Astyanax mexicanus: one gene and its partners. The protein of the gene in region 2 purifies or fractionates together with the protein of the main gene of each other region. This does not show direct contact. Links are inferred from orthologs where the notes say so. Each region holds a gene or a part of one and is shown on either strand. Other genes may lie near its edges. The genes, in order: pak1, nck1b, wipf2b and pdgfrb.

Region 1 (7,862 bases), on a different chromosome or scaffold from region 2:
CCAGTGTCAATTATTGGGGTGGGAATCACAGGGCATCCCAGGACATAATATAACACATTAAATTGCCCACTATAACAATAACATTATTATAATACTCGATATATCAAGGCAAGACATAGAAAGTCTAGAGCACCTGTGCTTTAATAAATATATTGATATTTGACGCCACGTATCAATAATATATCACAAACTACAGCTAAACAATATTGTGATACTGATATTTTGTCCCACCCCTATTAATTATTATATATATATATTTTTTAAATAGTTTGTATACAAATTTAGATAATGGGGACATATTGTACCTCTTGTGGGCTCAGAACCAAGTCGCTGCGCTTTCCTGCGCTGTGATGCAACTCAGCAATGCTGCATCAGCAGCAGTTCAAAAAGAGGTGGAGTCTGACTTCACATGTATCAGAGGAGGCGTGTGTTAGTCTTCACCCTCCTGGTGTGTTGGGGCATCATTAGTGATAGGGGGAGTCCTAATGAGTGGGTTGGGTAATTGTCTGTGTAAATTGGGGAGAAAGTGGAGGAATGAAAAAATATAATAATAATAATAATAATAATAATAATAATAATATTAAAAACTATATAAATCATACCTCTTTTTACACAGAATAGAAAGAAGAATAGGTATATGGGCTGTACAAAACACATTCATGATGTCCTGATGCACAAAATCACTCTCATATAAAGAGATCTTAAGAATTGTTTCAAATCAGAATGAAATTCTTATAATAATAATAATAATAATAATAATATTCAGAAAGAAGAAGTTCTGGAAACAGTATTTTCCAGATATCTTGAGGCAGAAAGCAATTAATAATAATACTTTCTGTAGATCAGTTTATGATTTCACTGGAAGTCAATGTAAAAAGATTGTATTCCAGTTTTTTCAGGAGCATTTTATTGGTCAATTTTCATAAAGGGCAAAACCGGTGTTTTAGTGGGTGTAGTGCGCTGTGATCAGCAATTTAAGTCAAATGCCTGTTTTCCACTACTGTCACATTTAATATTATTGTAGAAACTTTTTTTCACTGTATTGTGACACCTCTAACACACACACACACACACACACTCTAGTAGATCAGTGAGGGAGTAAAAAGATCAGTTTGGATCATCTCTGCAGAGACCCAGATTCAATTTCATGCATGGTTGAGACTCAGGCGTGTAACTGCAGTGTATCAGATTGTGTTGTATTGTAATGTAATGTATTGTACTGTATCACAATAGAGTGTCACATCATGAGTAGTGTGTAGTATTGTAATTTTGCAACAACAACCTGAAGCATTTCATGCATCATATCAGATACCCATGTTTTTCTGTGATGCTGTAATGAAATTTAAGTGTTTAAAGTCTTGTAGGTTAGTCAGTTCACTGTTTCTTCAAATGCATAATGCAAACAGCTCAGTATCTATTGGTTAGGTCATTTAAAAGTGTGTTCTTCATGAAAACAGCATCAACTATGAAATAAACAGATCATTTCTTCATCACCTCTTCCAGTCTACTAGATGAAAGCATCATGGAGGGGAATTCAAATGTGGATCAAATTGAGCAACTTGTACCAAAGGAAATTCAAATAAAACATTTATTAAAATAAACATTCAGAAATCTTCCAACAATACACTGAAGTTCTTTAACTTTACTTTTACAACTAGCAAAAGACATAAATGAACACATGCTAAATGTACTCACAGATTATCAGAGATTATTTTATTCTAAATGACAGATAATTATCAGCAATAGTCCGGATCTAGAATGAAGTGTTATATTTATATATATATATATATATATATATATATATATATATATATATATATTGTTACGACCTGGTCTAGGTCAGCCCGTAACATAGAATAACGAGGCCCCCATGCCCTCCTGGTTCCCCAACCACACATACTCCTGTTAGTCAAAAGGTTTAGTTTATTTAACAAATTGTAAAGAATACAAGGCTTATTTTGTTTATAATAAAATTAATACATCTTCTAAATAAAATAAAATAAATTATACATATACACATACTATAGTTGTTCACCCATAGTAGTGATACGAGAGACAATAACAGCTCAGCAGCCACATGTCTTGCCTGTCATGGAGCGGGTTTCATCTTTCAGGTAATGAAACATTTCTTTTCAGCAGGACAACGCTTGTCCACACACAGCATATATATATATCATATTAATATCAAATTATTATTAATATACAAATTATTCATTCCCATGGCTTATAATAAGTCAGAGGATTCAATTTTATGCATCTTATTAGGATTTTCCAGTCTCATCATGCCTCAGGCACTCCAGTATATGTGTATGGGCGGAAAGGTGGAATGGAAAATCCCAGTAACTAAGAAGCTGGAGAACATGAGGTCAACTCTAGTACCATACACACACACACACCTACAGCTAAGACCCAGCAGTAGAAGCCTCAGACTCTCCAGTATGTGTATGGACTGCACCTTTTAAGGTGGAATTTTAAGGTGGAATGGAAAAGAACTGGAGAACATGAGGCCAACTCTTGTACCATACACACACACACACACACACACACACACCTACAGCTCAGACCCAGCAGCAGATAGCAGGACCTGCTGTCTGTCTATCTGTCTGTATGTCTACCAGTCTGTCTACCAATGCCTACCACCTAACACCACGCTCCCTCCAGTCTGGGCACTGGTAGACAGATAGATAGACATACAGATGGACAGACAGATAAATAGATAGATACCTAGACAGATAGAGGGGTACCCGGCCTGAGTGCGTACCCACGCGTGCCAATCCCTCCCCAACAAAACTCACCTCTGAAACCGGAGCTGATCCGAATTATAAATCCCAATCCGGTTTTCTTCTTGTTCTCCACCTCCTCTCTCCTTCTCTCTACCTCCTCTCTCCGCGTGCACTGCCCCTCTCATTCACCTTAAACTTGCCGGATCCTCGCTATTGTGTGACATGCACGCGCACACACACACATACACACACACTCTCACACACACAACCCTGCTGCATTGAGCCCCGCCCACCCTGCGCTCTGCTAGTGGTCGCTTCCAAATTCGGTCCGTCAGCGTCAGTGCCATTTTTACGCATCCCACCCGTATTCGAAGTGCCCCGCCTTTCCTGCGCTCTGATTGGTCTGCATGATCAGGAGGCGAGCATTGTAATTGGACGGTTAGGATATTATCGCTGCAGTATACATTTTTAATGTATACATTTCTAATTATACAACTATTCAATGTTTTTATAAAAGTAAACGTTTTATATTGTATTTAATAAAAAAAACAAAGACTGTGCACATTTTACCGGTTGTTAAGTAGACGTAGTTTAACGAAATCCACAGAACTGGTCGTGATGTGACACAAACAGTATATATTTTACGAAAATGAAAATAAAATAGAATTTCTAAATTTCACTGTTTTTTCTCAATCAGAAGGGCCTTAAGTTATCAGTAGTTCAAAAATCTCAAAAATAAAATAAAAAAGAAGTGGACAAATTGGCAAATTGGCAAATAAAAATACAATATTCTATTGAATAGAGTCTTTACTCTTCTAAACTCTTTACTAATCTTTACTTTTCCAGTGAACAATTTTAGTTAGTAAAACGTTTTCTAACAATTTTGATGCCAACGTTTCCCAGAGTCATGTCATCCGCTGGTTTTGGTCCAAAGTCAGTACAGTATTTTCCCGCAAAATCTTACCACTTCATGCTTCCCTCTGCTGACAACTTTTATGGAGATGCAGATTTCATTTTCCAGCAGGACTTGGCACACTGCCCACACTGACAAAGGTACCAATTGGTCTTATATATTATATTTATTTTTTTTGAGACATTGATTTTTGTTTTTAATTGGCTGTGATCCATAATCATCAACAATAAAATAAATAGATCACACTGTGTGTAATACATCTATATAATATATGTGTTTCACATTTTAAACTGAATTACTGAAATAAAATTACTTTTCAATAATACAATTAATTTTTTTGAGAAGCACCTGTATATAATATTGGGACTGCTGCTTGTGAATGTATTGTTTTGTTCAGTAAAACAAAATTTCAGTGAAATAGACAAGCTGGAGTTTAGCGTTTATTTTCTATCCTGATTTAAGGGACAAAAGGCAAAAAAAATGCTCAAATAAAAACCTCTAACTAAAAACTACAAAATGTACTACATTCATTGCATATATATCAACCAATCCCATCAGTTCTACCCTCCTCACCGTCCACCCGGCGGAGAGAGTATGACCTAACTACTAGCCAATAGCAGCAGAGGGGGCGGGGTTTGTCGGAATAGAGGTGGGAGGTGGACGCCTGTCTGTCCCCTTAGGCCGGTGTGGGCGGGGCTTTCATGGAATATGGGCACAGCGAGGGCGGGGCCTCTTTAAATATTCATGAACCCTATTCTAATACTACTGCCAGGCAGAGCTGACCAACGGTGACGTGTTCTACTCAATTTCCTGTAAGAAGTGCTGATAAGCACCGTCCAGGAATAATAAATTTTATTAAAATCTATGGGTTTATTTGTTTTTTTTTTGTGTCAATATTTTTTGCAAGATATTATTTTAAACTGTTTTATATATGTTATTTAATCGTCACTGAACATTAGAGTTCTATGGCATGAACAAAATATTAAAACATATTTTTAAAATGCTAATTGTAGTCAAAACTCTCAGTAGAAAAAAATCTCAGGGTTACAATTACCGTTTTAAAATGTTTTGGTAACGTTGCTGCAATGGCACTTTTGCTGCCATTTGCTGCAATGTAATTTTTAGTTTTGAAATTGTTACTTTTAAAGTTTCCATAATGTTAATATTCGTCTAGCCGGAATATTACGTGAGAAACGTTCTAATAACGTTGTGTTACAAACATTTATTATGTCACACTTTTTTAAAACGTTCTTGAAACATTATTTATGTTCTCTCAGTAGAACAATTTCTAAGGGTTACAATTCACGTTTTTAAACGTTCTGGTAACGTCGCTGCAACGTCAATTGTATCAGTGTTTTAATTTTTAGCTTTGGAATTGTTTTAACGTTTAACGTTTCCATAACGTTAGTATTCGTCTGGCTGGGAACGTTACGTGAGAAAGGTTCTAATAACAAACATTTATTATGTCACTCTTTTCAGAACGTTCCTGGAACATTATTTATATAAAATTACAGGCTAACCTGTATAAGAATGTTTAGCAGCATTTTGAAGATGTTCCGGGAAGGAACATCTTCAAAATGCTGCTAAACATTCTTATAACGTTCTCTGTTGGTCAAAGCACTTTAACCAATTATATATATATATTTTTTTAATATATATTACATATGTAGTATCACATATTACACTAGGAAATTAAAAAGTGATTTTTGGTCAGCTTACTAGACATTTACCTTGCTATAATCATCTAAACGTTATAAATAATGCAAGTCCAAACGTTATCGTGTAGATACTGGTCTGTGATTTATTGTTGATCGTAAATGTAAGGCTGCGATGCTGACATTATTGATTTCCCTTGAGAATTACTGCAAGCTGAATGAGCTGGACACAGACTGCCATTTCTGCCTGTTAATGGAAATAACGCTGTTAGACTGTTACACAGTGTTCTGGCATCACCTTCAGGCCAGCTGCAGTATTGATATTGTCTTGTTGGAGAAAAAGACACTGCAAGACAAGGATGTCACCTTTCCTTGATATCCTTGAATGATTTTATGATATTAGGGAAGAGACGTATTTGAATATTTCAATCATTTTCTCACCATTTCTAAAATTATATATAAAGCTGTAGGGAAAAAATAGGGACCACTTAAAAATATGAGTTTCTTTGATTTTACCAAACTGAAAACCTCTGGAATATAATCAAGAGAAAGATGGTTAATCACAAGCCATCAAATCAAGCTGAACTGCTTGAATCTTTGTACCAGGGGTAAATGCATAAAGTTATCCAAAAGCAGTGTGTAAGACTGGTGGAGGAGAACATGCCAATGCATGAAAACTGTGATTGTAAACCAGGGGTATTACACCAAATATTGATTTCTGAATACTTAAAACTTTATGAATATGAACTTGTTTTCTTTGCATTTTTAAGGTCTGAAAGCTCTGCATTTTTTGTGTTATTTCAGCCATTTCTCATTTTCTGCACACAAATGCTCTAAATAGACCAATTTTATTTGGAATTTGGGAGAAATGTTGTCAAGTAGTTTATAGAATAAACCAACAATGTTCATTTTACTGAAGCATATACCTATAAATAGCAAAATCAGAGAAACTGATTCAGAAACTGAAGTGATCTCTTATTTTATCACAGAGCTATATATGGTTGTCTTGTCTTGTCAGGTCTATTTCTGTCTATATTGTGTTCAACTCTGACTATAAGCTTCTTTTCCCCACACAAATTATACAAGTTAGTTCCGACCTCACAATCTGACAAACGTTGTAAGTCTATGATATTTAATATGTTATATGTATTTTATGTAAACTCCACCAGAAGCATGATAGGAATTAATCTCAAAAAGAATCTAGTTGCAGTCTTGCAAATAGTGCATGGACAGCATTAATAGCATTAGCAGGTGATGCTGCACTGCATTCTGGTTACTGTGGTGATGAAAACTAGTGGTGATGATGTCCAATCATCGGACAGTATTTAAGTGTGGATAGAGACTGACAAATCCCAAAACAGGGGGGGGCGTGGTTTATCGGGATACGGGCGCAAAATAATAGGCTAAAGCCGTTAGCCTGTGTTTAGCCGGTTCTCCGGAGGAGAGATGGAGGATTAACGGGAATCAGGCGTGAATCAGGCCACGCACGCCCCACCGGACCTCCCCATGGCGGACCTCGCGGTTTCTCTGCTCGTGCTCGCGGGAATCGTCCTCGCGTGCGAGCTGGCGAGGCGCGCGAGCGCGAGGCTACTGTTCGGGGCCGGGGCAGGTACCGGCGCGTACGCGGCCGAGCTCATCTCCACGCTGCAGCTGTGCGCGTGCACGCACGAGCTCAAGTTGCTGGGAGACGCGGGGGTCTCGCAGCCCCCGCCCGTGGCGCTCGCGCTCACATACGCCACGGCAGTGGTGCAGGCGTTCACAGCGCGCGGCGCTACGTGCAACCCGTCCGGCGCGCTCGAGCGCTTCCTCCGGCGCCGGGACGGTGACTCGGACTCTAACGGTAAAGGATGGCGAACTCTGGTTGCGCGCGTGGCCTGCCAGTTCGTGGCCGCAGTGGCGGCTCGGGACGCCGTGCGCCGCCTGTGGGCTCGCGGGCTCTCGGAGCTGCACGCGCGGCACTCGGCATCAGCGTTCAAGTGCGCGAGCCCCGTGGGGAGCGCGCCCCTGCTCGCGGCCGCGGGCGTAGAGATGGCATGCGCCTTTGCTGTGCACGCCACCGCTTCGTGCACGCGCGGCTGGCGGGAGACGTTCAGGGTGCACGCGGTGGCGGCCGTGATCACAGCGGCTGCCTATGCAGGTTGGTCAGTCTCTCTCTTTTGGCTGTGTTCCAAATCGCACATTTAGCACCCTAAGTAGTGCCTTCCTTTAGTTCCCTGTGTCCCAAATCACACCGAGTTCAGAAAGACTGATGTGAAGCCATTGAGTAAGGCTATTTAAAAAAAATATATGGATTCCTATTGTTAAATAAGTTTATACACAATCCAGGTAACAATCCATCTCCTCACCCACATTTAATAAAATAGCTATGTGTCCACTGCCACACACTTTGGGCACGCATTTCCACACAGATCCACTTAAACACAACAGTGAGTGGAAATGGAGGAGCTACTGAACACAATGTCATGTGACCAAGAAAGCCAAAAAACTCACTGGTCCTCCTGTTTTTTCAATTGCAGTCCGGATGCAAGAATTTTATCACTGAGTAGAAGTGTGAAACTAATCTGGATAGGG
Region 2 (7,035 bases):
ATTATATAAGACCAATAATGGTCAATAATGGTTACTAATTAGCTTGTAAATGCCTTAAAAATCATTAATAATCAGTTATAACACATACGTAGAAAGGGCAACAATGACCTGTTGTTTGCCAAATAGTGAACCCACAGCTATCTATATTGTTGCCTTTTCTACGTATGTGTTATAACTGATTATTAATGATTTTTAAAGCATTTACAACCTTATTAGTAACCATTAATAAACTAATAGTAAACCATTTATAAACCCTTTATGAAGGTAGTCTTATTTTAAAGTGGTACCCCAATCTGTACTTTTGGCAGTGTGGGCAGTGTGCGAAATCCTGCTGGAAAATGAAATCTGCATAATCTCCATAAACGTTGTCAGCAGAGGGAAGCATGAAGTGTTGTAAGATTTAAAAAAAAAAAAGTATTTTTAATTTTAATGCCTTCCATGATGTATTTACAGTACACACGTGACACTGTGGACCGAAGAACATTAAATCCCTGCACAACTTCAGAAATGGAACATTAGACATGTAGAAATTCCAAAGTCATGAGATAACACTTTGAACACATGGTCAATTTACTGTAAAAACAGTTATCTCATATCTTTTTAGCATGCCAATGTAATAATATTGTCTTACAATATATATTTTTTGTGTGTCAGCAGATCATTGAATCAATTAGCAATATGAAATATTATTTCAAAAATCACAATTTAACAATGATTTCCACTGTTTTTTCGTGCAGGTCTTCTCAATATGGTTCAGGCTAATCAGAGGGAAGCATGAAGTGCTGTAAGATTTTGTAGGAAAACAAAACTGCACTGACTTATACTCATTAGACTTGATAATAAAACACAGTGGATCAACACCAGCAGATGACATGTCTCTCCAAACCATCACTGACCATCAGTAAATTTTGCATTTCATTTATAAATCAAGGGAGCAGAGTCTGGTGGAAGAGTAAAGAGACACACAGTCCAAACTGCTTGAAGTCTAGTGAGAAGTTTCCACCAATCAGTGATGGTTTAGAGGAGAGACATGTCATCTGCTGGTGTTGGTCCACTGTGTTTTATTATCAAGTCAGTGCAGTTTTGATTTCCCTCAAAATCTTACAGTACTTCATGCTTCCCTCTGCTGCTGACAATTTTTATGAAGATGTGGATTTCAATTTTCAGCAGGAGATGGCACACTGCCCACACTTCCAAAAGCACCAATTGGTCTTATATAATATTCTAATTTTCTGAGATACTGATTTGTGTGTTTTCATTGGCTGTCATAAAAGTCATAATCTTTAACCATAAAATAATTACACCATAAAGTAGTTTTATCACTAATATAATTTTTTTCACATTTTAAAGTGAATTACTTTTCAGTGATATTCTAATTTTTTTTGAGGTGCACCTGTAATTAATACTTACAAATTAATTACGTACAAATACTTTTTGCCACATGGTGTACATCTTCCTTAACATTCACCCCCTGGTGTTGTCACCCATTAAATAGGCTGCTTTGCAAACAGGCCTATAATGCGTAATAGCAAGGCTGTAAAAAACAGGCTGTAAATCACAGTTGTTGTTGTCACCATGTTGGCTCATATTTGTGCATGTGGTTGGGTTATGTAAATGATAATGTGCCAAAAGCTTTTACGGATGGAGCAAAATTAGCATTTTAATTTTATAACCTCGAGCTAAAATTCATTAAATCTTCTCTCCACGTCTTTCTGATTAGGATTAGCTCACAGCTAATTAGCTCAGGCTTTATTACAGTGACTCTTCATGTTCCAGACTGTATGAACGGTTCATATGGTTCATACACAGTGTTCATACGTAGCACTATGCTGAGCATGTGTGTGTTTGGGGGAGGTTGGGGGGGGGGGGCTCTAGGACATGTACAGTGGGTCCATCTGTTTGTGCAGGAAACAGATTGCATCCTGGAGTGTGTTCTGCGCCCCTCCATTCGACTCCCTCGATTGTAAGAGGTCGAGGTGTGTATGAACAATATCGCTCACGGATGAGTGAAGATACAGTCAAAACAAATGCAACGATCAACAAGTACGTATTTCTGTTTAATTTAATGGCAAGCGGACAGAGAATAGAGTGGTGGAGGGATGACATGCCGGGTCTATCAAACAGGAAAGATGCTGTAATAACTGGGGTCAAACATGTAGGATATGGCATATTGCCTTATAATGATAACATGACACATAGTCATGCCACATGAAACAGGCCTGCTGCAGAAGCCTCATTTAAACTGATTTGATTTCTTGTCACATTAAATGTGGAGATCTTCAGTCACTCTTTGACATTAAAATGGAAAGTCTGATAAATAAGGCACATAAATAACAAAATAAATTAATAAATATTTAAATAAACAAAGAAACTAATAAATGAAGTTAAATATATAGTGCCTTTCTTGAAACCCAAGGACGCTTAACAATTAATAAGTTTTTACACACAACCATTCATACCCTGCACTCATCCACACACCGATGAGAAGCAGCAGCCAATAGCGCACAGCATACTCTCAACCGGAAACAACCCCAAAGTCCAACTGGAGAACTGCATCGCGCACTACAGCATTTACCCAGGACAGAGCGCCACACATACCTATACATACAGTACATATACAAATCAATTTAGATTTTTTTAATTTTCAATTGTTTTTTCTGGGCAATTTGGAGTATCCCATTTTCTTGATCTTCATTAAGGTTTGGAAAGCTGTAATAATTAATGGTTGGATTTGCTTCTAACAAAACCCTCCATAAAAAGACTATCATCTACTCAACAGAAATTGATTATGCAGAAGAGGTGCTCATTTCTAGTCCTGGAGACCTCCTCTCACCAATTATACGTTGTGTTGTTAGAAAATATAGAAAGTAGTGAATAAATACTGCTTACAGTACACTTTAGTGTAGTTTTTTTTCCAACTAGCTTTAAGGTGTACACAATATGCACATCAATACGCAAAGTAGTATATTTACAACATAATTCAAATGTATTAAAAAGGTGTTTAAAAAACACATACTTAAATCTACTTAAGTTTGCAGAAGTTGTACGAAATAAACTCTCAAAAGCTGCCAAAGCAACAAATAAAAAGTTTACAACAAGTATGTATGTTTATAGTAATAATATAAACAGTCAAATATACTTCTTTACATACAGCTCTGGAAAAAATAAAGAGACGACTTCAGTTTCTGAATCAGCTTTTTTTATTTAGCTATTTATAAGTATATGTTTGAGTAAAATGAACATTGTTGTTTTATTCAGTAAAATACGGACAACAGTTCTCCCAAATTCCAAATAAAAATATTGTAATTTCAAGATTCAGATCCTTTTTTTAATCACAGTTTTCATGCATATTGGCATGTTCTCCTCCACCAGTTTTACACACTGCTTTTGGATAACTTCATGCCACTCCTGGTGCAAAAATTCAAGCAGTTCAGCTTGGTTTGATGGCTTGATTATGTTCCAGAGGTTTTCAATGTGGTAAAATGGAAGAATCTCATAATTTTCAAGTGGCCTCTTATGTTTTTTTCCAGAGCTTTAATTTTGCACATATGCATATTTCCATTTACATAGATATATAACATGTAAGCCACGTGCAAACTGTGTAACATTAAATATTAAAGCTGAGTAAATAAATGAATAAAGGTTTGTTGAAAAAAAAATAGTTTGTTGCCAGAGGGCAACATTATGCCATAGAAAGAGGGTTAAAAAAAACCTTTCCATTGGAAACAAACCTGAAACATGCAGCAGGGCCACGCATCTTTATGATTGACGTACAAATTAGCCAATAAGGGGCGTTCTCTCTCGCTGACAACCAATGAGAATCGAGTCTGAGCGTTCTGACTCCACCCAGTGACAAAAGTTAGCAAGAGGCGGGAATAAGCGTGTAGTGGTCTTTAATGATAGACGCGGGAATCTTCAAATGAGAGGATCTGCTTTTCCATACGCGAACCAATGAGAGTCGGGACTGAATCGGTGGCTTTCCAATGGGAAGTTAGATAGCGGTTGGGGGGCGGGGCTTTGTCCCGCTGGATGTGCTGGAATAGCGTCCCATAAAGGCGAGTGACGGTTGGCTGTAGAGCAGGAGGGCAGCGTTAGCTGAATGTTTAATATAGCGCTATTATTATTGTTTTCTGGATGTTTATGGTTCATAAATCGTGTGAATAAACGTGGGCAATATATTCGGAGAGGCTGGTTTGAAGGTAAGACCTGGAAAAGGTTTATTTAGTAGCTTATTTGAGGCTGTGGTTTGGTTGGATGGCTGTAGTAGTTAGCTAGCTGAGATGCTAACCGCAGACCCCGCTGCTGTTTCTAGCTTTAGTATGAGAAAAACAGGGAAACGGGGTCTTGCTGGGATTAAACCGGATTAAAACGTGTTTTTCTAAATTAAATACACTTTATCGGTCTGTAAATAAGATGGTAAGATGTATGAGAGATGGAGTAGAGGTGAATCACGCCGGCCTGGCACCGTTTAAATCACGGGCTGCTCTGTTTTGTGTTGGTTAGCTGTCATGCTAACCATCATTGCCACTGTTCACTGACCTCAAGCTATTCCTATATACCTACTGTAACTAGGGGTGGGCAGTATTATATCGTATACAATATATCGTCACACAGAAATATCATGGTATTAAAAATCCATGTCGTGATAATAGGGCTGTTCTGTCTTAAAAGTAGTCTATTATTTACTGTGAAGCTTTAAGTGTAACTTAAAAATACCCTGAAATATCGTGATATTATTTTAGAGCCATATCGACCACCCCTAACAGTAACTATAGCTAATGTTACCTATTAACCCATATCTCCCATGTCTTTTATTTAGACATTTCTATATGTTATCCTTAAATTTCATAGCTAAACTATTCCAGTATTATTAGACCAAAATGAGTGAGGCACTAAATAAATATTGGTTGTTGACCTGTGCTGTGTTTTTACTGCCAAATACCAACCACATATCATCACATTAAAGTGTATATATAAGCTATATAGATATATTTAACCTCTCATTTCTGCTGTTAACGCCATATATTTCTATATGAGCTATTCAGGATGTATTCAGATTAGACCCAGCTATGAATCATGTGTAATACAGGATGTTTCATTATATTGCTTAGCTAAAATCTTAGTGAGGATCTAAGTAAATATAAGTTGTTGACCTGTGCTGTGTTTATCCTGTCAAATACCAAATATCACATTAAACTAAAGATGAACTAGTTATACACATTTAACCTCTCATTATACAGACTAGACCTAGTTATACAGTTGTGGTCAAAAGTTTACATACACTTGTAAAAAAACATAATGTTATGGCTGTCTTGAGTTTTCAATAAGTTCTACAACTCTTATTTTTCTGTGATAGAGTGATCGGAACACATACATGTTTGTCACAAAAAACAGTCATAAAATTTGGTTCTTTCATAAATTTATTATGGGTCTGCTGAAAATGTCACCAAATCTGCTGGGTCAAAAATATACATACAGCAACAAAAATTGTCAATTTTGGTGATGTAGCGAGTTGTGTCAATCAGATTAGCTTCATGTCATGGCCTCTTCACTTCTTGTAAGTGATTCTGATTGACTACAGCTGTTGACTTCTCATGAGCCCATTTAAATAGGGCTCATTTGACCCAGTGATTAGACTCAGCTACAAAAGCTACAATGGGAAAGTCAAAGGAACTCAGTGTGGATATGAAAAAGCGAATTATTGACTTGAACAAGTCAGGGAAGTCACTTGGAGCCATTTCAAAGCAGCTACAGGTCCCAAGAGCAACTGTGCAGACAATTATACGCAAGTATAAAGTGCATGGAACAGTTGTGTCACTGCCACGATCAGGAAGAAAACGCAAGCTATCACATGCTGCCGAGAGGAGATTGGTCAGGATGGTCAAGAGTCAACCAAGAATCACCAAGAAGCAGGTCTGCAAGGATTTGGAAGCTGATGGAACACAGGTGTCAGTCTCCACAGTCAAGCGTGTTTTACATCGCCATGGACTGAGAGGCTGCCGTGCAAGAAAGAAGCCCTTGCTCCAGAAAAGGCACCTTAAGACTCGGCTGAAGTTTGCTGCTGATCACATGGACAAAGATAAAACCTTCTGGAGGAAAGTTCTCTGGTCAGACGAAACAAAAATTGAGCTGTTTGGCCACAACACCCAGCAATATGTTTGGAGGAGAAAAGGTGAGGCCTTTAATCCCAGGAACACCATGCCTACTGTCAAGCATGGTGGTGGTAGTATTATGCTCTGGGGATGTTTTGCTGCCAGTGGAACTGGTTCTTTGCAGAAAGTAAATGGGATAATGAAGAAGGAGGATTACCTCCAAATTCTGCAGGAAAACTTAAAACCATCAGCCATCAAGGTTGGGTCTTGGGCGCAGTTGGGTGTTCCAACAAGACAATGACCCAAAACACACATCAAAAGTGGTAAAGGAATGGCTAAACCAGGCTAGAATTAAGGTTTTAGAATGGCCTTCCCAAAGTCCTGACTTAAACCCCATTGAGAACATGTGGACAGTGCTAAAGAAACGGGTTCATGCAAGAAAACCATCACATTTAGCTGAACTGCACCAATTCTGTCAAGAAGAGTGGTCAAACATTCGACCTGAAGCTTGCCAGGAGCTTGTGGATGGCTACCAAAAGCGCCTAGTTGCCGTGAAAATGGCCAAGGGACATGTAACCAAATACTAATGTTGCTGTATGTATATTTTTGACCCAGCAGATTTGGTGACATTTTCAGCAGACCCATAATAAATTTATGAAAGAACCAAATTTTATGACTGTTTTTTTGTGACAAACATGTATGTGTTCCGATCACTCTATCACAGAAAAATAAGAGTTGTAGAACTTATTGAAAACTCAAGACAGCCATAACATTATGTTTTTTTACAAGTGTATGTAAACTTTTGACCACAACTGTACATCATGTGTGATACAGTATATTTCATTACAAAAATATTTAGTGAGGCACAAAATAAAAATGGGTTGTTGAGTTGTGCTGTATTTATCATGCCAAATGTCATTTACAAAGTAAAGCTAACCTATAC
Region 3 (7,995 bases), on a different chromosome or scaffold from region 2:
GAAGCTGCGGGAGTCTCCCGCATTTCGGTAGTGGCTCCCTGATGCCCGCGAGTCACATATAATCTCCCGGAATTCAGAACGAGAGCCCCAAACGCGCACACAGGCGACATACTTTTTCTCTCTAATCGCGTGTGGGAATGAGAGAGAGAAAACAGAGAGGGTTCTGATTGGCCTGTTCTCTGCAAAGAGTCTGTGAGACAGCCAATCAGTTTTTAGTGTGGGCAGGCAGTGTTTTTCCCCCCTCCCGGATGGGATTTGTTCAGTGAGTGAGAGAAAGCAGATCATGGTGGAGGCAATATTAATAATTATTGTAATATGATATGAAATGTTTTTGAAATTGTGCAATTTTTGGTGATATTGTAACTGTCAATTTTTAAATTTTTTTAAAGGCTTTTTTTTCCAAAAAAAAAAAAAAGGAAAGCAGAGGCAGGGCCTTCCAAAAAGAAAAAATATAAAACTCATTTCACCTCTGAATACTCTAAATTTAATTAAAAAAAAAAGTAAAATAAATTAATATAAAAGTAAATTTACGTCAATTTTAGTCAACTTATTGTTACTTACTGTAATTTAAAGTTGGGAGGGCCAGAAGAACTAGCTGAAGGTACTGTGTGTATGAACACAAAGTTCCCAGTGCCTCATTTAAATATCTGGAGCTTGGGATGCACTAGGCGGTTCCCTGTTGCAGCTGCATATATGCTGATTGTAAATGAATATATTTCAGTAGAATGTAAATATATTAAAGAAGCTTAGTTGGGCTGGAGTTTGTCTGCAGTTCTCTTGAGTCTCGTAGGGTGTGAAGAGTGTGATGGACATTTTTTTCCTTATTATTAACTAAAACGCTCTCCCATTATTTTAAGATAGTAAATCATTGTTTTGAGATAGTAAGTCGTCTTCAGATAGTAAGCCATTATTTTGAGATTCTCTCTCATTATTTGAGATACTTTCTCATTATTTGAGATACTATCTCACTATTTAAAATACTATCACATTATTTTGAAATACTCTCATTATTTTATAATAAAATAGCATTTTGAGATACTGTCTCATTATTTTTAGATACTAAGCCGTTATCTTGAGATATCTCAGAAATAATGAGATATCAGTTTAATTTAGGTTGCAGGAATGGGCTTCCATATAAAACAGCATTAACTATTATTAAAGATATTAAAGATTGGGCCCATTTTTCGTAACAATAATTGTGTTTTTGTATCAGACTGAGGTTAAATCAGTTAAGATTCAGTGCAGCATCTCAGGTGTAAACAGCAGGCCTGTGACTGTGTGACCAGCCTAGGCTAACAAGTGCTAACTAGCTAAAATCTGTTTAAATCTGTCTTATAAAGTGAGAAATTGGCAAATAACAGAGAAGAAGTGTCAGAAGATGCGTAAATGTGTGTAAAAGTGTTGTGCCAAGTCCTGTTTGTGGCTAAAATAGCAAACATTCATGCGAAGAATTGTCCAATCCACCTTAAAGGCCGCAGAGAAAATGCACCATTTAAGGTGGACCAGGCGCAATATTTAGCTTATTCAGCTAACCCAAGGTAGCATTGAACGACTCAATAAAAACAATACAGCCAGCTAAGCTAACTAGCTAGCGCTAGCTGGCTAAGGTAAGGTTAGCTAAAATCAGGCTAAATTAGTTAAGAAATTGGCAAATAACAGAGACGGAAATTTCGGTGGACGTGTAACTTATATGCGTTTAAAATGTTGTTTCTTTTTTGTTGCTAAAACTGCAAAAATACCTGCAGTTTGCTTATTATGAAAATTGACCATTCCACCTTAAATGCAGCAGAAGCTAAGCTATGTTAACACTCAGGCCCGTGGTGTTTAAAACCCCGTTTTTGTATGATTTCACGGTTTCTTTGCACACAGTTCTGCATATTTGCACCAAAAACACAGTTAAACCCTTTTAAAACGTCTCAATAAAACCAATAAGGCTAGCTAAGCTAGCTAACTAGCTAGTGCTACCTAGCTTAAATCGGTTTAAATTCTGTCTTATAAGTTGAAAAATGACAAATAACAGAGAAGCAATGTCAACAGACGTGTAAATAAGTGTAAAAGTGTAGTCAAGTCTTGTTTGTGGCTAAAACAGCAAAACTATCTGCAGTTTGCTTCTAATAAGAATTTTCCGTTCCACCTTAAATGCAGCAAAAGCATTATGTTAGCCTATTCAGCTAAGCTTAAGTAGCATTCAGGCCTGTGATGTTTAAAATCCGTATGCATGTATAATTTTACTTTTTCTTTGCACATATTTCTGCATATTTGCACCAAAAACACCATTAAACCCGTTTAAAACTGCTAAATACAACCAATGAAAGTAGCTAGTTAAGCAAAGCTAAGCTAGCTAACTAGCTAATGTTAGCTGGCTAAAGTCAGTTAAATTTGGGTTAATTTATGTCTTATAAGATAAGAAACTGGCAAATAACAGATAAGCAGTGTCGAAAGACGTGTAAGTAAGTGTAAAAGTGTTGTATCAGGTCTTGTTTGTCGCTAAAACAGCAAAACTACCCGCAGTTTGCTTATTAGAATCGACCATTCCACCTTAAATGCAGCAGAAGCAGCACCATTTAAGGTGGAACGGGCGCAACATCCAAGCCTATTCACCCAAGTTACGGTAGCTAGCCAACATTCAGGCCTGGGGTGTTTAAAATCTCCATTTCTCTTTTATTTCACGTTTTTCCTGCAGATTAGTACCTCTTTGCACCAAAAACACCAATAAACCCGTTTAAAACGACCCAATAAAGCACAACAAACACGAGACACATATAACGTAAAATCACAGCGCGCGCAGTGCTCGTGCAGGATGCAGAACCGCACACCTGAGCGCGAGAGCAGGTTCTTGCTCAAGCTCAAAGCACCGCTTCGCGTCTAGACTCGAGCCAGCCGCACCCGCAATCCGAATTATAATCGGATTTAAAGAATAATGTAAATAAATGAGCCCTACTTTTCTCTCTGGCATCCGCGCGCGCCGCCACGGGCTCCCTCTATCGCATGATATCACTGCGCTTCAACCGGAAACACTTCCGAGATCAAAGCCCATAGATAGATTTATTTATTTATTTATTTATTTATTTATTTATTTATTTATTTATGTCAGTGTGCATGCACAGTACCAGTCAAAAGTTTGGACACACATTCTCACCTAATATTTTTGATATTTATTTATAGTTTTATTTTTTTTTTCTACATACAAAAAAGATGACCATTGAGTCAAAGTTCAGAATTTAAAATATTAAAGTATACTGGAAAAATAGTTCCAGCATTACACATATATAAAAAGAACATAAATTAATAGATACATTAGAAAAGAGTAAAAGTACAGTACATCAACGAGTCAATACATAGTGCAATTATATCTTGATAGGTCAACACATTGACAAACCAGAGAAAAAGAGAGAGAGAGAGAGAGAAAGAAAGCCAGACGAAAGCCAGAGCACCCTTGGGCGTCTCCTCCCCTCACCCAACACAGACTTCACCCAAGCAGTTATACATTTATGCAAATGACTTGTAAGTAAATCAATAGGATTTAATGCAATTTAATGGATTCTATCAATATGACATATATCAGCAGAGTCCAGTTAACAGTTTGTTGTCCAGTTCCAATGATATGATCAGCTCCAGCCTGTCTAGGCAACAAGTTCTTACCATGGTGTTTTTCAGCTCTGTGTCCATCATGAACACAGCAAACAGTCCTTGTGTTTTGCACAAGAATCAAACAGTCCTTAAGTGTCCTAAAGTCTGTGAGAAGATGAAACAGAAATCTGCCACAAAAACTATACATCTTTGTCACATATAACTAGGCCTGTCACGATAACCCTTTTTCAGCAAACGATATGTTGTCCCAGAAATTATTGCAGAAACAATATTGTTGGAATTTTAAGACTGGCACTAACATAATCATACCTTAATATCATGAAGGAATTACACCCTTTTAAAGACAATAAACTTTCCATTGCATGTTATATAGGGAACCATGAGTCTGCCCCACACCATGATGTGCACCCCCGGTCTGTCCCAGCTGGCCCATGTTGGACCAGCCTAAAGACCCTGCCTTAAGGCCCTGTCCCACTGCGATTGCGTCTAAATATCCACTAAAGTACGTACAAATTTATCAGAAAACACTGCGTCCACTGAGTGAACGCGCTGCGTCCAAAATATATACGCACTGCGTCCAAATGGTGAAATTACATCCATATTCCGTCTAAATTGAAGTTGGACGCCGACTTCCAAATTTGTACGTCGACTTCCACTCTTTGGACGTCCACTTCCAACTATATATGGTTGTTTTTTCTAGTGAATCATCATTTCTTCTTGAGCTACAAGAGAGAGCACATCTATTCTCTTCTACACAACCATGGACCACAGATTCCTTGCAGTGATGGTGCAGCAGCAGAACATACTCCTCCATGTGCTGGACCAGACTGGGAGGAGGAAGAGGCGGCAGCAGGAGAGGACTGTATGGGCCAGCCCTTGGATTGTACGCCGGGTGGAGTTTGGACTGTATGACCGGCTGATGGTAAAGCGATGGACGCCAGAAAAATATTTTTATGGACGTCGACGTCCACCTGTACGTGCCGTCCAAATATCCACTAAAATACGTCCGTACTGCGTCTAAATATCCACTAAATTACGTCCATATTAGTCGCCGTCTATTCCGAAAATTTTGGGAGGTACCAAAACCACTTTTGCGTCTAAAGTGGACGGCAACGTCTAAACTACGTCCACTTGGACGGTGCCGTCCAAATATCCACTAACATACGTCCAGATTGCGTCTAAATATCCACTAAATATCCACTAAACTGCGTCCACTGAAATTTGGACATACTTTAGTGGATATTTAGACACAATCGCAGTGGGACAGGGCCTTTAGCCTTCACTCGAGAGATACGCTGATGTGAGAGAAAGGCTGAGGCAACATTAACCCAAGAGGCACTAAAGTTAAGCGTCTAGAGCCGCACTGTGACAATATATGTTGGTGAATTTTGTAAGAGCAAACACAATAGACGAGATCACGATTATTAAAATGATTGAGGTCATGTTCATTTATTGAACGATAAGTCGATAATGTAGTTATTGTGACAGGCATATGACCAAAATGATTGAGTCTTGACTTTCACTTGCTGTGTGTACGTATTGATAATGTTGCTTCATGTGCTTTCGGGAATTGTGTGTGTTGAAATGAAAGGCTGGTGTTTCTCAATCTATGTCCTGAAGGCACCATTTCTTGTTCTTTGAGTAGTTTTTCTTGCTGTAACTTGCTCTCTGCACTTCTGGAAAGATTGGTTAAGTTCATTATATTGGATTGAGAGTGGTTGGAGAAGGCAAAGTAGTAAACAGGACAGGGCAGGGTGCCTTCAAATTAAATGAAAACACGGACGAAAATAAAGTTTTTGACAACCTATTTTTCATGACGGCAACAAGAAAGAACTAAATACTGTGATGGAGAAATTGAAGAATACTGGAGAATTCCTGTATGTAAGAGACAAGGCCGATGGTCAGTACTGGATGCTGGTGATCTTCAAGCCCTCAGGTGGCGCTGTATTAATAACAGACTGTAATGATTCTGTACTGGACATCACTTCAAATATTACCAGTTCTTACCAGCGGTTCTTACCACTGGTTATTGACACCAGTTCTTATCACTGGCTCTCACCACCAGTTCTTACCACTGGTACTTACTACTGGTACTCACCACCAGTTCTTACCACTGGTTCTTACTACTGGTGCTTACCACCAGTTTTTACCACTGGCTCTCACCACCAGTTCTTACCACTGGTTCTTACTACCAGTTCTTACCACCAGTTCTTACCACTGGTTCTTCCCACGTGTTTTTACCACTAGTTTTTTACCCCCAGTTCTTACCACTGTTTTCTACCCCCAGCTCTTACCACTGTTTTCTACCCCCAGTTCTTACCACCAGTTCTTACCTCTAGTTTTTTACAAACAGTTCTTACCACCAGTTCTTACAACCGATTCTTACCACAGGTTCTCACCACTGGTTGCCACAAGTTCTTACCACCAGTTCTCTTACAACCGATTCTCACCACCGGTTCTCTTTCAACCAGTTCTTACCACCAGTTCTGACCACCGGCTTTTACCACCAGTTCTTACCAGCGGTTCTTACCATCTGTTTGTACCACCGGTTCTCACCACCAGTTCTTATCACCAGTTCTTACCACCGGCTCTTGCCACCAGTTCTTATCACCAGTTCTTATCACCAGTTCTTACCACCGGTTCTCACCACCAGTTTTTACCATCAGTTCTCTTACAACCGGCTCATACAACCAGTTCTTACCACTGGCTTTTACCACCACTGGCTCTTACCACCAGTTCTTACTACCAGCTCTTACCACCGTTTTTTTACGACCGTTTTTTACCACCGGTTCTTACCACCGTTTTTTACCACCGGCTCTTACCACCAGTTCTTACCATCGGCTCTTAACACCAGTTCTTACCAGTGATTTCTACCACCGGTTCTTACCACCAGTTCTCTTACAACCTGCTCTTACCCCCAGTTCTTACCACTGGCTCTTACCACCAGTTCAGAGAACCAAGAGGAATGCCCCTCATAGTATTTCTCAATTCAGATTCTACCTCAGTATGTGAGAAAAATGGGGGTGTAAAGTCAACTATCATCAAAATGACATGAGAAGTAAAGCTTTCTCATGCCAGTGTTTCTCAGTCCGTGTCCTGGAGCAACATTCCCTGCATTCACTTGCTGTGTGTACTGTGGCGTGAGGAGGCGGGGGAACCGTGGGTCCGCCCCATGCCGGAACTTAAGCAGCCGGCTGGGACAGGTATAAAACTCAGCCTCAGCTCACTGAAGGGGCTCTTGAATGGGGAGCTGAGGGCTGAGGCTGCACGGACCTTTAACTTAAACTAAAGTTCATTCTACAGACTCTAGAGCCCCATTGGGCTGAGTATGTTTATTTGAGTTTGTTCTGGGTGTGGTGGAGGGCGTTTAGGCAAATAAAAGGTACGTTTTGAGTTCATTTACTCCCCGTGTCTGTGTTCTCTGTGTACTTCCTCCTTCTGGGTCACTGTGGTCACGCCCCTTACCCCAGGGGCCTACCACAGTGGTGGAGAATGCAGGCACAGAGTCAGAGACGGCCGGAGCCACGGGAACAGGGTCAGAGGCGGCCGGAGCCGCGAGAACAAAGTCAGAGGCGCCCGAAGCCACACCTGAGTTTCGTTTTGTTTTTTTCTAAAAAAAAAAAATAAATAAATAAATGCCTCGCGGGAGGAAAAAGGGGAGGCCCGGCCCCGTCTACTCACCGCAGCTCTGGTGTGACGCCGGGGAATTCCCCTTCGCCTCCTTACTCCTCGAGCCCGAGCCCGCCCCCAGCTACGCTCCACCGCTCTGCAGCGGTGACGCTGGGGATTTCCCCTTCTCCTCTCTCCTGCCGGAGTGGCTCCGTCAGCGCTGGGAGGACGCCAGCGAGAGGCGGCTGCAGCAGCAGTGGGCGCCTCGCCCCGAACTCGGCTGGTGCGAGTGGTGTCCGAGCCCCAGACACCGGGAGGCCGAGTGCTCTCACACCGGCCCGGACTTCTGCTGCTGCTGCATCTTCCCGGAGGAGGAGGACGAGTTCTGCGCCTCCCTGCCCGGCCTCAAGTCCGACTCCACCCCGCCTCTCCGGCGAAACTCTTCGGCGGCCGAGTCCGAGTCGTGGAGGGGGGAGAACGGCCCCGAAAAGAGCGAGGCCGACCCAGAGCGGGAGCCGCCACAAGTCCCGGCTACCGAGAGCCGCCGCTCCACAAGCCCCGGCGCTACCGAGAGCCGCCGCTCCACAAGCCCCGGCGCTACCGAGAGCCGCCGCTCCACAAGCCCCGGCGCTACCGAGAGCCGCCGCTCCACAAGCCCCGGCGCTACCGAGAGCCGCCGCTCCACAAGCCCCGGCGCTAACGAGAGCCGCCGCTCCACAAGCCCCGGCGCTTCCGAGAGCCGCCGCTCCACCTGTCCCGGTGCCCCGAGCAGCCGCTCCACCTGTCCCGGTGCCA
Region 4 (7,123 bases), on a different chromosome or scaffold from region 2:
TAACCGTTTGTGCAGACACATGCACATTTGTGGCCTGCTGGAGGTCATTTTGCAGGGCTCTGGCAGTGCTCCTCCTGTTCCTTCTTGCACAAAGGCGGAGGTAGCGGTCCTGCTGCTGGGTTGTTGCCCTCCTACGGCCTCCTCCACGTCTCCTGGTGTACTGGCCTGTCCCCTGGTAGCGCCTCCAGTCTCTGGACACTACGCTGACAGACACAGCAAACCTTCTTGCCACAGCTCGCATTGATGTGCCATCCTGGATGAGCTGCACTACCTGAGCCACTTGTGTGGGTTGTAGAGTCCGTCTCATGCTACCACGAGTGTGAAAGCACCACCAACATTCAAAACTGACCAAAACATCAGCCAGACAGCATAGGTTCTGAGAAGTGGTCTGTGGTCCCCACCTGCAGAACCACTCCTTTATTGAATGTGTCTTGCTAATTGCCAATAATTTCCACCTGTTGTCTATTCCATTTGCACAACAGCAGGTGAAATTGACTTTACTTGGAGTTATATTGTGTTATTTGAGTGTTCCCTTTATTTTTTTGAGCAGTGTATTAAGATATTTGGAGAGCATTATTAGTATTGTGACATTCTGGATCATTGACTTCTGTTACAAATCGATTAAAATTCTTGTATTTTTTCAATATTTCAGTTAGTGTTGTGTCAGATCATATCGTATGCAATAATATTTCAGTGTTTTATCATATTGCCAAGAGTATCGATATCGTGAAAATAACATGAAATATAATGATATTATTTTAGGGCCATATCGCCCACCCCTAGTGGCCAGACAGGGACCTGCAGGCAATGGATAAGAACCTGGGGTGTCTTTCAATGCCAAGAACACAAAGAACTAGCTTGTGTTCTTGGGCAGAACGTTGGTAAAACTTTGCAATAAGTGTACATTAATGAAATGCTGTGTACTTGCTATTTTATTGTATTTACAATACAAGGGCTTAATAACTATTGATTGTTTGTCTGAACATCTTTTCATCATTAGTGTAAATACAGTAAATACTTTTTATTTCAGTTTGTTTTGTTTGGCAAATCAGTTTTGTGGAAGATTAAGAACACATCCGGGAACTTGAACTATTCTTGGTCATTATTGTCTTGAGTATTAGAAAGCAGCTTAAACAGAGGAAAATGATAAGAACACACGGTTGCAAAAATACACAAGAACACACGTTGAAAACAGATCTGGCATTCCCCTGGGCAAAGAGTATTCACAGGTGCAATGTGGTTTTCAGTTCTCAGAATGCTGTGAAGTTTTGTTTTTAACATTTTGGTTTTAATGTTGAACTGGGAAGTGAGAGTACCCGCTAAAAAGCTAAAATTACATTTTCTGGTAAAAGTTTAGATTTATCGTAACCAGCTTTACACCTACCACAATAGCCTGTTAATAAAGGATTTTTCAAGTTCCCAGTGTTTAAAATATGGCCACATATAGTTACAGTTTTTTTTCAATTGCTAAAACACTAAACCCTGTTGTCTAAAGCAAATGCTCTTTGCCCTGAACCCATTTATTTAAATGTTCACTCTTTTGGCAGAACCTTGAGCACTTTTCATGTAGTTAGACACAACTTGCAAACATATTTTCACTCACTAAAACACATTTTGCACTGTGATGCCCTTGGGCTGCATAATTGTGAGCACAGGTAGCAAAGTGAAACTCCTGTTTAGCACTTCTAGTACAAAAAAAAACATGCAGTTACAAAAAACGTACATGCACTACTAGTCCTACAAGTTTATTGGGAAATTAATGTAATAAATCACATTTGTATTGAATCATAATGCAAACATTTACCTGTTCTCCTGTCTAAATCTTCGGATTATGATGGACACTGTGAATCTGCTTATATTGGGCTGAAGTCAAAGTCCCGTTTCCCTCATTGTCAAACCGTGGACTAGAACATGCTGACAGTTGCCCAAATTTTATCTGAAATAATTGTTCTACCTCCTCTTCATCTCTTACCCTGCCTTTCTGATGGTTTCTGTCCATAGTGAAACATCAGTGACCAGAGCTTCTTGTCCTGGATTATAATGATGCCTTCTATCCTTAGACACAAGTGTGATCAATTTTGAGTTGCTATGTTTAAGTTGAGACACCTGTGCTTTCACTGAGTTTCACTTTTGCTTACCATTATGTTGTGCCCAAGTGCATCACAGTGCAAAATGTGTTTTAGTGGGTGAAAATATGTTTGCAAGTTGTGTCTAACCAGGTAAAAAGTGCTTAAGATTCTGCCAAAAGAGTGACTATTTTAATAAATGGGTTCAGGGCACAGTGTGTGTGTGTGTGTGTGTGTGTGTGTGCTAAGAGACATTGTGCTTGGAGGGCAGGCCAGGCTATAAGGGCTAAGTGTGTAGTTACCCCTAGTAATGAAAACTCTGCCTGAGAACTAGCCCTGTGTTGAGCCGACTTCACGCTGGATGTTTTCAGAGCTCTTTAATCAGCTGTTGGCTCGAGTACAGCACGGTGTGTTTCTGCACACTGCGGTTCAGTCCTCAGATTGCAGTAAACAGAAGAGTGAAGTGTAGCAGTGATTAAAGGGTTAAAATCAAAGAGCTACATCAGTGTTGAGATTCAGGGAGTGTGTTTATGAGATGTGACGGCTCTGTTCTGCTGGGTACCACAGTCTTTTATAATTACTGTCTGTTCTTCACGGGCCCTCGCATTCACTCACACAATTAGAGGAGTGAGTGTGCCAGCTTTTCTCTCTCTCTCTCTCTTACTCTCTCTCTCTCTCTCACTCGCTCACTCGCACACTCTGTTTTTGTCTTTCCAATAAAGAGAAAAGTCCTTACTCAGCTGCTGGAAGCTCTTATGAATTTCCAGCCCACTCTGCTGACTTCCTTGAAAGAGAGAGAGAGAGACAGGAAAAGAGAGAGCGAGAAAGAGAGAGAGATATTGTGAAAAGAGGCGAAAGAGTGCAAAAAAGAAGAAAAGGTGAGAATAAGAATGAGATCAAGTGAGCGAGAAAAGAGGTAACGAAAGAGAAAGAATGAAAAACAAAGGCTGAGAGGAAATAAAGAGTAGAATCAAGTGAGAAAAGAGATTAGAGAGAACTGAAAGGAATGAGTAATAATATGACAGAAAGAAAAAAAAGTTGGAAAGAGAGAGGAGGTAGAAAGTAAATGAGTCAGTAAAGATCTAGAGAGAGGAGACAGAAAGAAAGAAAGAAAAAAAGAATAAATAGTGTCAAAGAGTAAATATACAGTAAGAAAGAGAAAAAAAAAATAGAGAAAAACATCCAGTAAATGAGATGGAAATGAATGATGGCAAGAAACGAAACAAAAGGAAAGAAGAAAAAATAGAAATAGAGAGAGAGATGAGAGGGTCAGAGAGAAATAGCAGAGCGAAAAGAAAGATAAGGAGACAGATTTGTGAGATAGAAGAAAAGACAAAAATAGAGAGAGGTTAAAAAAGAGAATGAGAGAGAAAGAAAGAAAGAAGGGAAACAAAGAAAGAGATCAAGGTGTGGTAAACTGAGGATGAGAACTGTAAAGAGAAATAGTTTTAGAGAGGAAAGAAAGAGAAAGAGAGCGAAGGTAAGCAAGAGTAAGAAATGAGAGGGAGTGAAAGAGTGTCAGAAAGGAAAGAAAGAGAAAGAGATTAAGCGAGAGACAAGAAGAAATAGAAAAGTGAATGACAGACCATGCAGGCAGGAAAACAGCCAAGAGTGAAAACAGACCATGGTTCTGTGTGTGCGTGTGTGTGTACACGTGTGTGTGTGTGTGTGTAGGAGTGTATGCTCACACTCCTGTAGCCCCCTTCTCACTGAGCACCACAGCTGATACACCTTCTCTCCTCCAGAGCCCCCTATCCCCCCATCTTCTGCCCTGAGAGTCCTTTCAGCTTTTGCTTTTTACTTTTCTCTCTCTCTCTTTCTCTCTCTCTTTTTCTCTCTGTTCCTTGCTTTCTTTCTCTGCTCACTTTAGGAGCTGCCAGTTTCCAGGGAGGATTTGCTCTGTTTCCCTGCCACTCGTGATTTCAGTGAAAGAAACACAAAACCAGGGCTGTTGCTGAGGAGACCTGTGTGTGTGTGTGTGTGTGTGTGAGACTGTCTGCCATCTTTACTTTACTTGTTTTCTGGATTTCCACCGTAACAGACCCTCCTCACTGAAGGACTCATCACAGCAGATGATCTGAGTAGAGCGAGGAAGACTCTGGTACAGATCTTTAGATCTTCACCCTCCTCTGTTTTTCTGCTCTGTCTGTTTTTCTCTCTCTTTCCCTCTGTTCCCCCGGTGTCTCGCTCTGTCCTGGTCTGCCCTCCTCCTCTTTGTTGTTCTTGGTCGTTAGATGTTGAAGTGGTGGGCAGTGTTACAGCTCAGGTTGGGGTGAGTTGGGGTGAGTTGGTCTGAGCTGGGGCTGCTATCAGTAACTGGACCCCTTAGTAGACATCTGAGTAAAATAAACAAGAGCTCACATGAAAGCTTTTGAAACAAAAACAACTTACAAAAGATCTCCAGACAAACACAGAGATGTTTTGGGGAATGTTCTTAAGGACTGAAGTTCCAGACTGTATATAATAGTTTCAACGAAACTTTCAGTATTGTGTCCCTTGACTTTTGCCATGTCCCATGAAAGCTAAAGAGCGCTGCACTGTCAAAGCCTTTAATGATGAGCAGTACCAATCAAATGTTTGTATACACCTCTTTTTCTTCAATGTGTTTTCTTTCTTTTTATGATTTTTTTTCACATTGTAAATATAATATTGAAGACTATATTAAAGTTATACAAAAACAATGTAAAATTATTTTTGTAGAAAGAAAAAAAAGTTTTAAACAAACCAGAATATGTTTTATACTTAAAATTATTTTATGTAGCACATTTATGTTCTGTTATTTGTTTGTTATCTGTTTGTACTGAGCGGGTCAACCCGAGTAGGATGGGTTCCTCTGACTGCGTCTTGGTTCCTTCCAAGATTTCTTCCTCTTAAAAGGAGTTTTTCCTTGCCACAGGTCACCATAAAAAATAGCATCTCTGTGGTGCTGCTCATAAGAGGCGTGGACCTGTTTTTCTCTGTAAAGCGGCTTTGTGACAACCTTTGTTGTAAAAAGCGCTATATTGAATTATCTTTGAGGACAGATCTGCACACTCTCAGTATTTTGGTGTCTTTTTAGATTCAACTTAGATTAGATTCAACTTTATTGTCATTGTGCAGTGTGCAAGTACAGAGCCAATGAAATTGAAGGAGTTCCTGAAGGTGCTGCACAATAGTTGCTGCTTTTCCTTCACGCTGTGAAGCTCCAGCTCAAAGCAAATCACCATGTCAGTTGGGATTAGATCAAACACTTTTTTTTTAAACTGTATACTATGTAATTCTACATGTGTCCCTTAACTTCATTACTAATTCTCATGTCTTTAATATTAATCTACAAAGTAGAAAATAAATTAAATAAAGAAATAAAGAAAAAACATTGAATGTGACAGAGTCTCTAAACTTTTCACTGGTACTGTATACCCTGTACACATGACAATGTGGATAAAGGAAATGGAATGTCCCATCCCTCTAGAGTTCAGCCTGAGTTTGGGCATTCCCAAAACGTTCACAGAGATAACACTTCATGATTAATTTACATACTGCTGTCCCATGACTTTTTGCATGTGTGTATGGATTTGAGAATTTTTTATTGGACCAATTATCATGTAAGTTTGATACAATAAAGAACTGACCAATTAAAATAGTCAAAAAGTAAAAAAAAAATAAAGATATGGATATTTAAAATATAGAAATAAAGCAATGTCCATGTGTGTCAAAGAAAATTCTAATTCATTTGTATATGGTTATTTTTTCATCCTATCATTGTTTGTTTAGAAACAAACTGGCTGTTTTTGCTAAAAGCTAAAGTCCAAAAACTTTTGTTTTAACGTTTTCAGTGTGAATGGGTGTGGCTAAACTGTTTGATAGGTAAGATAAAGTAATCAGGTATAATTATGTACAGTATATGTATATTTGTATCTATATGCGCTTGTACATAAGCATGTAAACATGTATATCCATTTATATGTGTGTGGGGAGTCAATGTCCATGTAGTATTTCTGGATTTAAATCTTAACTTAAGTACATTTTTACACAATACAGTGTATCTGTATTCTGTGTTCTTAGGCTACTTCTTAACAGCCTATCCATCACACATAAAGAACAGTCTAATTAAGCTTTGCGTTGACGTTATGCTCAGACGTCACACGGTGGCACTGCGTCAAGAAACATATGTACTTTTTTATTTATTAAAATAAATTAGAATGGTAAAAACAGTTTTTGAAAACATTTTAAATAAATTTTAAGCATTTTTATGTGATGTTATTATTTTTCACATTGTACATTTAGAGAGAATTCTGAGTAAGCTCCATGACAGATACATCAGTTGCATCCGTTCATATTGGGACAGTTTTTATGAAGTTTTTATGGCGTTGGGACCCGGCTATTATAAAGGAGTAAATGTGTAAAATGGCAAAAATGTTTAATCAAATAATCAAATTATAATTCAAATTTTAATCAAGCAAACCATGTTTTTTGGCAAGATATGGACAATTTGAAAGAAACAGTAAGATATTTCTCAGTTTATTCTTATGTCTTTTGGAATCAAAACAACATTTATAACTTTTATTTATTTTATATAAATTTTATTGAAGTTTTTCAAAAGCATTTCACAAAAAACAGCACATACAAAGTTTTTCAGTCATGTTTCTTCAACACATCTTTTGTTTCATACAATAATAAAATTAAAAGTAAAACAAACATATTACATTAACATAATCGTTTTTTTTTACAAGATTCGAAACATTTAAAATAAAACAGGTATATTGCCAACATCTTTCAAATATTTTTCAAATTCTTTTCTTCTTTTTTTAATATCAACAAGAGCTTGTTTTAATACATAAAGACGTAAAATTACACAGTTATCCATATTTTATTTTTTATAATACATATCCATATGTATTACAAATTTATTTGGGATCTTGAGAGGCTTTCTTTAAAGATAACTAAAAGATAACTTTTACTCCTAAAGATTCCTGCATTAATCCAAAGCTTAATTCTCTAGTTCAGTGTTTCTCAACCAGGGTGCCGCGGCACCCTGGGGTGCCGTCTGGCTTCATCGGGGGTGCCGTCAAAATATT

Evidence for each region.
Region 1: the proteins of nck1b (region 2) and pak1 purify together in Homo sapiens (affinity purification with western blotting; 8 studies listed by BioGRID and IntAct, with this or other methods). This does not show direct contact. The link is inferred for Astyanax mexicanus from reciprocal best matches to the Homo sapiens genes NCK1 and PAK1.
Region 3: the proteins of nck1b (region 2) and wipf2b purify together in Homo sapiens (co-immunoprecipitation; 3 studies listed by BioGRID and IntAct, with this or other methods). This does not show direct contact. The link is inferred for Astyanax mexicanus from reciprocal best matches to the Homo sapiens genes NCK1 and WIPF2.
Region 4: the proteins of nck1b (region 2) and pdgfrb purify together in Homo sapiens (affinity purification with western blotting; 3 studies listed by BioGRID and IntAct, with this or other methods). This does not show direct contact. The link is inferred for Astyanax mexicanus from reciprocal best matches to the Homo sapiens genes NCK1 and PDGFRB.

The regions. Positions count from the first base shown.
Region 1 is NC_064416.1:5,300,688-5,308,549, forward strand, and holds the start of pak1 (serine/threonine-protein kinase PAK 1), read right to left. Parts: upstream 3,020-7,862; 5' UTR 2,796-3,019; intron 1-2,795. Other genes in the region: aqp11 (aquaporin-11), read left to right, coding at 6,798-7,428. UniProt on the Homo sapiens protein: Protein kinase involved in intracellular signaling pathways downstream of integrins and receptor-type kinases that plays an important role in cytoskeleton dynamics, in cell adhesion, migration, proliferation, apoptosis, mitosis, and in vesicle-mediated transport processes.
Region 2 is NC_064413.1:49,212,505-49,219,539, forward strand, and holds the start of nck1b (cytoplasmic protein NCK1), read left to right. Parts: upstream 1-4,033; 5' UTR 4,034-4,199; intron 4,200-7,035. UniProt on the Homo sapiens protein: Adapter protein which associates with tyrosine-phosphorylated growth factor receptors, such as KDR and PDGFRB, or their cellular substrates. Maintains low levels of EIF2S1 phosphorylation by promoting its dephosphorylation by PP1.
Region 3 is NC_064410.1:61,184,500-61,192,494, forward strand, and holds the start of wipf2b (WAS/WASL-interacting protein family member 2b), read right to left. Parts: upstream 3,001-7,995; 5' UTR 2,942-3,000; intron 1-2,941. UniProt on the Homo sapiens protein: Plays an active role in the formation of cell surface protrusions downstream of activated PDGFB receptors. Plays an important role in actin-microspike formation through cooperation with WASL.
Region 4 is NC_064409.1:67,927,240-67,934,362, reverse strand, and holds the start of pdgfrb (platelet-derived growth factor receptor beta), read left to right. Parts: upstream 1-4,100; 5' UTR 4,101-4,167; intron 4,168-7,123. UniProt on the Homo sapiens protein: Tyrosine-protein kinase that acts as a cell-surface receptor for homodimeric PDGFB and PDGFD and for heterodimers formed by PDGFA and PDGFB, and plays an essential role in the regulation of embryonic development, cell proliferation, survival, differentiation, chemotaxis and migration.